Linked DNA regions of Drosophila melanogaster. The gene in region 1 interacts genetically with each later gene. Each region holds a gene or a part of one and is shown in the gene's direction. Other genes may lie near its edges.

Region 1 (4,920 bases):
GTCCTTTGATTTCAGCATATTCGATAGCCTGGCCATCATGAACTTGATGCCGCCTTCTGCGTCGTCTAGTGTTTTAATAAAAAAGTCTCTTATCTCGCTCATCAGGGCGGTAAAACAAAAGAAACAATCAGCCTCAGCGTGGGCGCGATATGTGAGGTCAGGATCGGAGGCCATAACATAGTAAATGGGTCCCACGATTTCGTTCATGCCCTGGACATATCCCTGGCCGGGATTTAGTTTGGCATAGATGAACAAAATGCGTTGCACAACTTCCCAGTGAGCCTCTTGGCCCTCCTCCATGGCGGCATAGTTTTCAACGGAGCGTTTTGTAATCAAATTTATCTATATAGAGCACACATATTCATTAGGTTTGGGGCAGTTCCAGATGGGCTTACTTACTTGCTGCTAAAATCCACACGGTATGCATGAATGAAACAACACATTCTGAGCTTATTGTCTAGCACAATTCCGATCTTGAACTCACCTTTGTCATGCCGAGGCCCTTGCGTTCCACATTCGCCGAACTTAGAACGGCGGGAACCACCCGTTCGTGGAGCCTTCGTCCATGCTCTCCTTTGCTGTGGACCACAATCTCGCAGGGATAATCGGTGGGCTGCTGGAAAAAGGATATGTCCGGGCACAAGCGGCGGACATCCTTGTCGATTTGCAGTAGAAACTCGTTATCATTGAAGAACGTGTTCCACGCGCTTTCGGGTCCCTCGCTCAGCGGATGATCTTGCAGGCCAACGCCCCCCGAATCGACTTTGTCCCCATCTCCTCCGTCTACGCTAGCTCTATTGCTCGAGTGTCCGGGGGGCAGGACTAGCTCCTCGATGAACTGTTTATACAGGGCTCGCTTTTGGGCCAAGGTTGTGGTCCAACTACTGCGCCTAGGCCCCAAATAGCCAAGGAGTAGCTTCCAACTGAGTGCTCGAAAACTCTGCACATCGGGCACACCTGTGGAGTGCTCAGACTTCAAATTTTGAACATTTCAAATGCACTCTTAGCTTTCTACCATTAAATGCCAGTTTCCTGAGTTGTTTCAGGTCAATTAAATCCTGTGGCCCCGCCAAAACATCCTCAAATTCCTTGACTCTGCATTTTGGTTAGAGAAAGTCTTTGTTTACGGAGAAGTTTGGATTAGCTTAGAATAACAGCTTACCGCGCCTTGAAAATAGACATGCTGCGGCTTTATGTGGGCGGGGCTATGCTGAGATCTTGCAGTACCCCTATGTGTAATTAATTAAAGCTTTATCTCAGTTTTATGCTGGGTGAAATCTGCAGGTATAAAACACAACAAAACAATGGGCGTTGCCAGATGGTTCGAGCTCTAATCGATTATTCTCTGCGACTATCGATTTTTGAGTGCATTGGGCGGTAAAATTCAAAGTTTTTAACGATTAAATTTTATAAATAAATCGAAATTTTAAATGGTTTACTGTCCTCGTAAAAATGTATGTAATTACCTTCTGTCTTAATTGTATTGTTCTTTTTAATTAATTAATTGAAAAACTGTTTTTAAGCTGGTTGCCAGATCTTGTAAAGCTGAAGGCGCTATTGTTTAAATTGTAAATGAAAATGATTAAATCATGATTATTAGATATTGCTTGTATGTATTTTCTTTGCTCAATCAAATTTACTAACTGAAACATCAATTAATCCATTCATAATTCTCCGCGTCTCACTATTTCACTGGATTTTGAATGAATAATAATATTCTGTTTTCGCTCATTTTCTCTGATTTTTTCTCCGCTTTTATTTGATTTTTCAATTGCCTACTAGTGCACACACACACGCAGTCGCGAGCAGACGCGTTCGAATCGTAGAATTTAGCGCATATTTCTGAATGTGCGGAGCATTTCTTTTGTTTACTCTAGTCGCTGGCCAGCAATGACGACCAGCAGATCATCGGCGTCCGCGTCATTCAGTCGACCGGCTTTCTGGAAGGTGCCCGGTTACGAATTGCCCACGTCCTATCGTCCACAGCCGACCCCAAAACCGCCGCTCGTACCGCTGCCATCGCCCTGCAGGCGGCGCAGCAGCAGCGGACTGAAGAAGCGCGTCCATTTTGCCGATGAGCAAAACGTGGGGGTAAGTCCAAGTGGCCGAGAAAAGTGGAAGCCCCAACCCCTTTCAAATCGCCCGGCTTGTCAATCATCGCGCGTGTGTTCTTTTCTTATTCGTATTCCAATGTATTTGTGGCCCCAATTCACAACAGGCCGACTCAGAAATCAGTTCAATAACATTTCGCCCCTTGCGGCTCGTAAATTTGTCAAGCCAAATCTAATTAATTGGCCACTGCTGCACTTTTCGGTCAAGTAAAATGGCCCAAAAAAGATGGATGGATCTATATTTCCATTGGCATGACTTTTATACCATTCGCAAGACGTTGGGTGAAGAATTTCGAATGATTTACAATCCGCTCAAGGCTGATCTACAGCAAAAGTCACCGTAAAAACATTACACGAATTCCAATTGAAAATGAAATGAAAACAATTCAAGCCGCAAATAGTAAAAACATTTCAAGAGCCAGCCAAAAAGTGCCGAAATCAGAATGTATAAAATTAAAAATGAAATGGCAAGCCATATATTGTGTATATATTCAGCGAAAAGCCAAAAGGCAGGAAAAGATTTTTCCGCTGTAAACAGTAAAATTGTTGCCAAAATCGAGAGGCAGACAGAATGTTTAATACAAACCAACGTCCTTCAACCGTTGACCCGTTCATATTGCGTATACGTCACGTTGGCCGTAGACTTTTCCATTGACTAATGCATTAAAAATCTAATATGATTTGCTTATTTAAATTGGGCAAGAGTGTCGAATTGGTTGTTGCAGTTGTGCTAGTACCGCCTCAGTAACTAAAACTAATTACACTCTCTCTTGGTTGCCTCATCGTTCGGCAAACAAGTCGGAGAGGAATAAAACACTAATAAAATAGTCGAAAATGTCGAGGAAAAACAGATGCCTAGATACTTGATTTTTATGCTTTTTTGCATCAGGCGAGCTAGCTCATCAAAGCATTCGCCTAGATGATGATATGTGGCATTCATCTCTTCAGGGTCAGCGTGCAACTGGATCAAGTGCTGCCCTAAAATGTGGTCAACGAAATGCAGAATGCCACAAATGCAGGGCACACGTCGAATTAAACAATGGGAACAATGTGGGAAAAGGTTTGAGTTTGTGGTGGCTTGCGGATGCTCTTCGCGATTTGGGTATATATAATAATGAAAATAGTAAAGCTTTAAATACATGGCACACATGCAAGCAATCATGTTTATTAACACTGCGTATGCGTAATTTGATATGCAGCCGCTTATCAAGTATACGCCTAATTATCTTGTGGTAATTATGAGCTTTGCCGAGGTAAATGCTCCTGATGCTTTTTGAATCCACGACATCCGCTCTGAGAAATTCAGAGTGCTCTTAGCGGAAACCCCATTTAACGATTAGGATTCGCCAATCGAATTCATGTTTCTCAGCATGTAGTCGCCGTTGCCGGCGGATATAAGTTGTACATGTATGTACATATGTGTATGTAAGAAACAAACTTGTGGCGCAGTGTACTCTGCTGCCGCTGCTGTTGCTGCAAAAAGGAATACGAATTGTATTTTAAAATTAGTACTTGAGCAGCTTTGCGATCGAACAAAACGCTTAACGGATTGCAATCGCGCGCCGCCTGCGGCTCGGCCAGAAAAGGCCAGAAAAAAAAATAAACAATAAAAAATAAATATATATTTTCGGGATAAACCATCGCTGGATCGGATGAGCGTCTGATCTTCCAGTCTATCTTCAACATCAGGATGAGCCCCAAGCTGCATGAGTTTGCGGTGGTGCTACTGCGCGATGGTCAGGCCACGCCCTGGGGCATTCGTTTGGTGGGCGGCAACGATCTGGACACGCCGCTAATTATCACCAGGGTAAATGGGCGTTATATAACCAGAGAGACTGTCGCCTTGTGGTCGCTTGTGGTCCATTCATCAAAATTGAGCCAGAGAAGAAATGCCTGAGGAAAAGCGATTGGCCTTTGTGCCCCGCATGCCGCTTTGTTCTCAGCGCCCAAATAAACAACAACAAATCAAAATAGCGAAACGGGCACAGCAACAATAAACGCTGCAGCGTTGCCAAAATGCGACGCCAGTAAAACTAATTGAGGCGCAACCGAATAGTCGAAGAAAATTTCCACTTTTCCTACCTACCCCCTTTTCACTGAGCTGCGATGTAAACACACACATTTTGGCGATCATAATTCTGTCTGCATCTATTTAGGCACCCATAAATCTGTGTCAAGGTTGCAACCAGCCCGTTGCACCCTATACTATGTGTGTCTAATGACCTTCCCACCTCCTTTTCCACCCCACCCGTTGCAGGTGCAAGTGGGCAGCCCAGCGCATGGCGAACTTCTAAGAGGCGACATCATCTCGAAGATCGGCGAGTACGACGCACGCGACCTGAGTCATGCGGATGCACAGCAGCTGTTCCGCGGCGCTGGCAACGAGATCCGCCTGGTGGTGCACAGGTGAGCCAGGAAATCCGTGTATCTGCATCAAAGATACCAATCAGTTCCGTATGTTTAACATCAATTTCTTCTACGAGTGTCAAGTGTATTGAGTAAAGAGAACACCTTCATTTTAGTTTTCTGTTTTTTAAACAGGGCTTTTATCATCATAAAAGTTAGTTGATTATAGTCATAGTATAAAAAACTTAACTTAAGTTTTACTCCATTGCCAAAAGGAAACCTTCGTCTTGGATCAATTTGCACTAAGAAACGTTAGGAACTGATTTTTCTTTTGTATGGTCTGTGATATGACAAATATTAATAATTCTAAATTGCAGGGACAACAAAATCGCCTACACGCAGGGTGCAACTCAGGAGGCAGGTCCTGGATCTCGGAGCAACTCCACTTTGCCGCCGGTCACTC
Region 2 (5,039 bases), 1.2 Mb from region 1:
TTGGGTCGAGCCGGGTCGAAAGCTAACTGATGATGTTTGGCCCAAAGTAACTGGCTTATATACTGCCTCGTAAGAAACTTAAACTGGGTCTGGGTCGGGGTCGGTCTCTCGGGGTCGGGGTCTGGATCCACACACATGTTATCCTCAAAAGTCAGGTTGTCAAATTGTGTTAGGATGCGATGAGTGCATTCCGGAGTTGGCTCTTCTCTCTAACGCCTGGCTAAACTCATTCAATGTCAAAGCTGACTTATGCAAATGGCTATTGGAAAATTGTGGGTGGTTTTTGGGTGGCTGTGTTTGGGAGAAGAAGGGCTTTGTGGGCGTTTTGCTGTCAGCCAATTAAACAATTTATGTATAAACAGCCAGGCCGTACTAAGCCCTGCATTTATGAATACCAAATAAGTCCTTGGTCTTAAAGTTACCTCGCCTTTACAGCCCGTTTGCCTCTACCATTTCTACCCTATACTTACCAATCCGCGCCTGGGCGCCCGGCAGGCCGGAGTAGGCCAACAAGAACCCGAGCCAGCTGATTGGAGCCAGCAGCATCCTGGCAACGAATTACGCCTCCTTGGTACTTTTCCTTTGACTGTCTTGTCTTTGCCGCTCACACAAATTCTTCTTTTTGCACTGTCTACTTTTATTCATTAGTCAAAGTTGGTGCTGCATAAATAAGTGATTACGAATTGGATTACGAATGCTGTTAGGAGAACGGGTGTACATATAGTATGTATGTGGGAATGCCATGTTCAAGTGTTCGTATGTATGTATGTATGTGTATGCATGCTGGGTAATGAATGTGTGTGTGTTGGCCAAGTGTCCTATTTCGGTAGACAGTAGATGGCTAACTCCAAGTAGCTGCAGGTCTTGACGCAGCACTCGTCGTAGACGCCACCGGTCAGGTGTCTCCTGTGGCGACGCATCTTGATCAGGACCTCGGATCCGTACAGATTGGTTAGCAGTGGACTAAAAGAGTATCCTGCCCCGTCCAGTGTCTGCCACATGCTGCTATCATCCTGCACCTCCTGCTCCGTGTCCTCGTCGTCGTCGCTGTTGCCCAGCAAGCTTTCACGTTTCCTTGGCAGCGTATTAAAGCCATGGGGACACACCACATCCATGGCATCGGACAGTGCGGGGCCGCAGAGTTTGTGGTTTCCGGGGGGCAGCAACTGGTGACCACTGCCAGTCGGCGTGACCATTGCCATTGCAGCGGTGAGCATGGCTGCGATGAGCAGCGACTGGAGCCGAAGGCCATGTACTGCTGCACCGTTGTGCTGGCTAAACATCTTGGATATGCAGTGAATGCTCTGGGCTGCAACTGGTATTTATACCACTAAATCGGAAGCGCTAGCTAATGCAGTTCAATGGCCTCTTCTGCAGTCTAGCATTGCAGTGGCATAGCAAGCCCCACGGGCGTACAAACTGCAAATCCTTTGATCACCCATGTTTCAGGTACCGTTTTTCCCCTAAAAATGCAAACTCTATTTCTAGCTCTACTCCCCAATTTGGATGGAAAAGCGATGCACTGTTGTTTTGGTAGTTGGGGTATTGTATTGTATTTCTTAGCAAATATCAGTTGTATCATTACCTATATCTATCTATACCAATAGTTTGGAATGTATTTGTAAGACATTTTTAAGATATTCAGAAGAGTTAGCCTTATGGGACTTGCTCTAAAGTGTGAATTGATGCACACAGCTTTATCGAGCATAGTTTTCAGTGTAATCACCGCCAAAAAATCCGCCCACTTCAAAGCATAACCCGTTCGCCCAACCTGTTACATTGCCGCTAAGAGGCTCTGACTGCTGTCGATTGCGATTACGATTACGACCAGATATCTGTGGGGCATGGGGATAAGGGGTATGTGGGCCGATGGCTGACAGTGTGGCAGCCTCATTAGCATGTCGTGGCCAGGAGGAAAGTATGCTTCGATGAAGCTCCTCCGGCGGCAGTGTGCGAAATCGCTTCGATCACCATCATCGCCATCGCCATGGCCACTCGATTGTCGAGTTGCACGCACGGCGATGCCAACAGTTGGTTGCCAGCGCTGCACTCGAAACACTCGCTTCTTCCCACCGACCGCAAAGTGCCGGAAAAGCTAGAAAAAAAGCAAAAAAAAAAGTGGAAGAAAATTCGCGATAGAAAACGGAAAAATCGAAACGAACAAAAAAAGTCGGAATAAATCAAGGAAACATGGTGCTCGACATTAAGATGTGCCGATTTGATAATGTGCCCTGGGGCTTTCGCCTGGTGGGCGGGGCGGACTACGATTATCCGCTGACGGTGGTTAAGGTTAGGCCCGATTCGAAAAAAGAACGAAATCTATATGCTGCAACCCCCACCCCCCCACGCATCACCTCAGCCCATTCACCTGGCGGATGTTCATAGACCAGTGGAAAATATTGCTCACTATGCAGCTGATGAATCACATTGGATTAATTCGATACGATACGTTCGAATCAGTTTTATTTGTTCGATTGCAATATTACGTAACGCCGCGATGCGTGTGTGTCCATTCGGATTTGCTGCATTGGCAAATTAGTTAATTAAAGTAATTCCTCTCGCTTTTGTTTATCTAATCGACAGGGCCATACATTTCCCGCTAATGAGCCGCATAATGGCAGCGGCAATAAACTTATTCAAATTTTAATTGTGTTTCGCTGGCAGTTGGTCCTTTGTTTGTGCATAAATTGCATTTGGCAATTCGCATTTTGTAACATTGTGTTGACAATTCGCAACCAGCAACAATAACAAAAATACAATACATACAATACTATAGCATCGTCGTAAATCCGAAACAAATGCGATTTTTAATTGGCAAACTGCTAAGCGCATAAAACAAATGACCGAAATGCGAGGGGCGCTAAAAAATCCCATCCCTTCGATACGAATAAATCAATTTAAGCCGCAGAGTCAAGGAAGGGAGGTCATAAATTGTTTTTGACTTTTTGGTTATTTTTTTTTTACCGTTTTACATAAACAAATTATGCTATGGGTTATTTTAAATTCCGATCAATTTATAAAATGTTTGTGCTTTGGGATATGCATACCATGAAAAAATGGAAGTTTATTGTAAATGAATTATTAACTTCACAAGCTGGCTGATAGAGAAAAAACTGAAAAATGTCCGGAATGTTCTTCATTCCAATGAACTCCCTAAATTAACTTAGCTAATTTATTCCTTATACTAATACTCCGCTTTTAAGAATTCCTTACTACATGTTAGAGACTCAAAAAGCACATCCTTCGACTCGAGTCCATATTACTTTATGGAATGTGCCAACACACCTTCACATATTGGCTCTGCAAACACTAAACAATCCTTGGTAATCTTTTGAAAAACCTCTGTTTACACTACCACTCTTCGTCATGCTGCTCGCCACATACAGTCTGGTACATAGATGTATGGCCCAGCTAAGCCCAAAGCCTTTGTTCTATAAATATTCGCAACCTCCGACGATGTCGAGTGCTTTTTGCTCTGCGAATTCACCGCTGGAAATTGACTCTACCATAAGTGAAATGCAAGAGACCCCTGGGACTGAAAGGAAAGACCCTCAACTTGGTTGGGTGAAATGGTGGAGTCTCCAACCCTCCACCTGCTCCTTGTGCCAACCACTTTTTTTTTTTTGCAGTATTTGCATTACTAAGTCCTCTTGGCAGTCGGTGTCGTGACTTTCTGGTTATGAACCCTGCTTTCTCATAACGGAAACGAAAACAATCGCGTTTATTTGCCCACGAAAGTGTTACAAAACTGCCTGAATTATGCAATAGAATTCTTTGAACAGAGTGCTAAGATATTTCGCATTTTGAAGGCGAAACATAATTCATCCATAACTATTAGTTTGATGAATTCTCACTTCGTATGCTGGCAATTTTGAAGGCCGAAGTGGCAAAACCATTTTAAATGAATTCCTACAATTTATATGCTCAATTTGCGCCAATTTGTCTGTACTTTATTACCCACAAAAGCCATAAAGCTTATATTGTATTTAGTTGTTATTGTTCTCGCAACATTTTCACTTTGATTTATAGTTGCGAAAATAAATGTTGGCAAATGCAAATTTTTGAAACGATATTCTCTTACACGGTCATTTGGTACCATTTCCGGAATATACATTTACCAATTTTCCAAAAAAAGAGCCATAAATTGTATTATCCAATTAAAACGATTAGTCCAGTGGGTTTTTATTTCTAAAAATTTAATTTTGTAATTAGAGAAAACTATTGTGAACTTTGGATGACCTAGAAAGTTTCATTAGTTGTACATTATTTTTTACCCCCGCTTTAAAATTGCAGAACTTCTGTAAAAAAAAGCTTTTACAAGCTATTTAAATATTAGTGGTAGAGTTGTTTGAACATTTATCTTTTTGGAATCAGCAATATTTGGTTCTCTATCCTTACAAATTAATCTTCTCTTTAAGTGAACTCATAACTTTGTATATATGTACGTATGTAGAATCATCCTTCAACTCAAACATTTCCATCCGGCGAAACAATGCAATATTTGAGTGGTTAGACATGGGTAATTCCACTTGACTCGCTTAACTGAAGTGTCGTTAATGAGCTGCCACTTCTACTCGAGCACCCCTCGTTCTGAGCCCCCAGCCCCCACAGATCCTCTGTAGCCCCCCCATCTCCTTGGGCATTGTCTTCGGTTCTGTTGGGTTTGTGCGTGATTGTATGATTGTCTGTTCGGGGGTCTGGGTCTGCTGGTCTTTGTTTTGTTGACATTTGGCGCGCGTTTTATTTTTATGCACTTAGCACGCGACGTCGCCGTTGTCGGCTAATAGAAATTTCCCCATTATCGCATCGCATCCCATTGTATTGTATCTCGGCTATCTCGACTATCTCGGCCTCGCACTCATTCTATCGCCACATTCCCATATCCGCATCTGAATCGGGCGATATCTAGGCATTCCCATCTAGATCTAAACATGTCCATATGCTTCAACGTTAGGTGACCGAGGGCAGCATTGCTGACGAGGCTGGACTGCGGGTCGAGGATATCATCGTGCGCATCAATGACACGGCTGCCACGCCCC

What was found.
Region 2: of Zasp66 (region 1) and Zasp67, changing one enhances a phenotype caused by changing the other (phenotypic enhancement), as found in Drosophila melanogaster (one study listed by BioGRID).

The regions. Positions count from the first base shown.
Region 1 is NT_037436.4:8,622,593-8,627,512, forward strand, and holds the start of Zasp66 (Z band alternatively spliced PDZ-motif protein 66), read left to right. Parts: upstream 1-1,778; 5' UTR 1,779-1,890; coding exon 1,891-2,091; intron 2,092-3,616; exon of another isoform or gene 3,617-3,801; coding exon of another isoform or gene 3,802-3,918; intron 3,919-4,368; coding exon 4,369-4,517; intron 4,518-4,834; coding exon 4,835-4,920. Other genes in the region: GAPsec (GTPase activating protein, SECIS-dependent read-through), read right to left, coding at 1-342, 485-957, 1,016-1,095, 1,163-1,182.
Region 2 is NT_037436.4:9,794,678-9,799,716, reverse strand, and holds the start of Zasp67 (Z band alternatively spliced PDZ-motif protein 67), read left to right. Parts: upstream 1-2,029; 5' UTR 2,030-2,190; coding exon 2,191-2,289; intron 2,290-4,954; coding exon 4,955-5,039. Other genes in the region: CG32052 (uncharacterized protein), read right to left, coding at 471-546; Ilp1 (Insulin-like peptide 1), read right to left, coding at 819-1,283.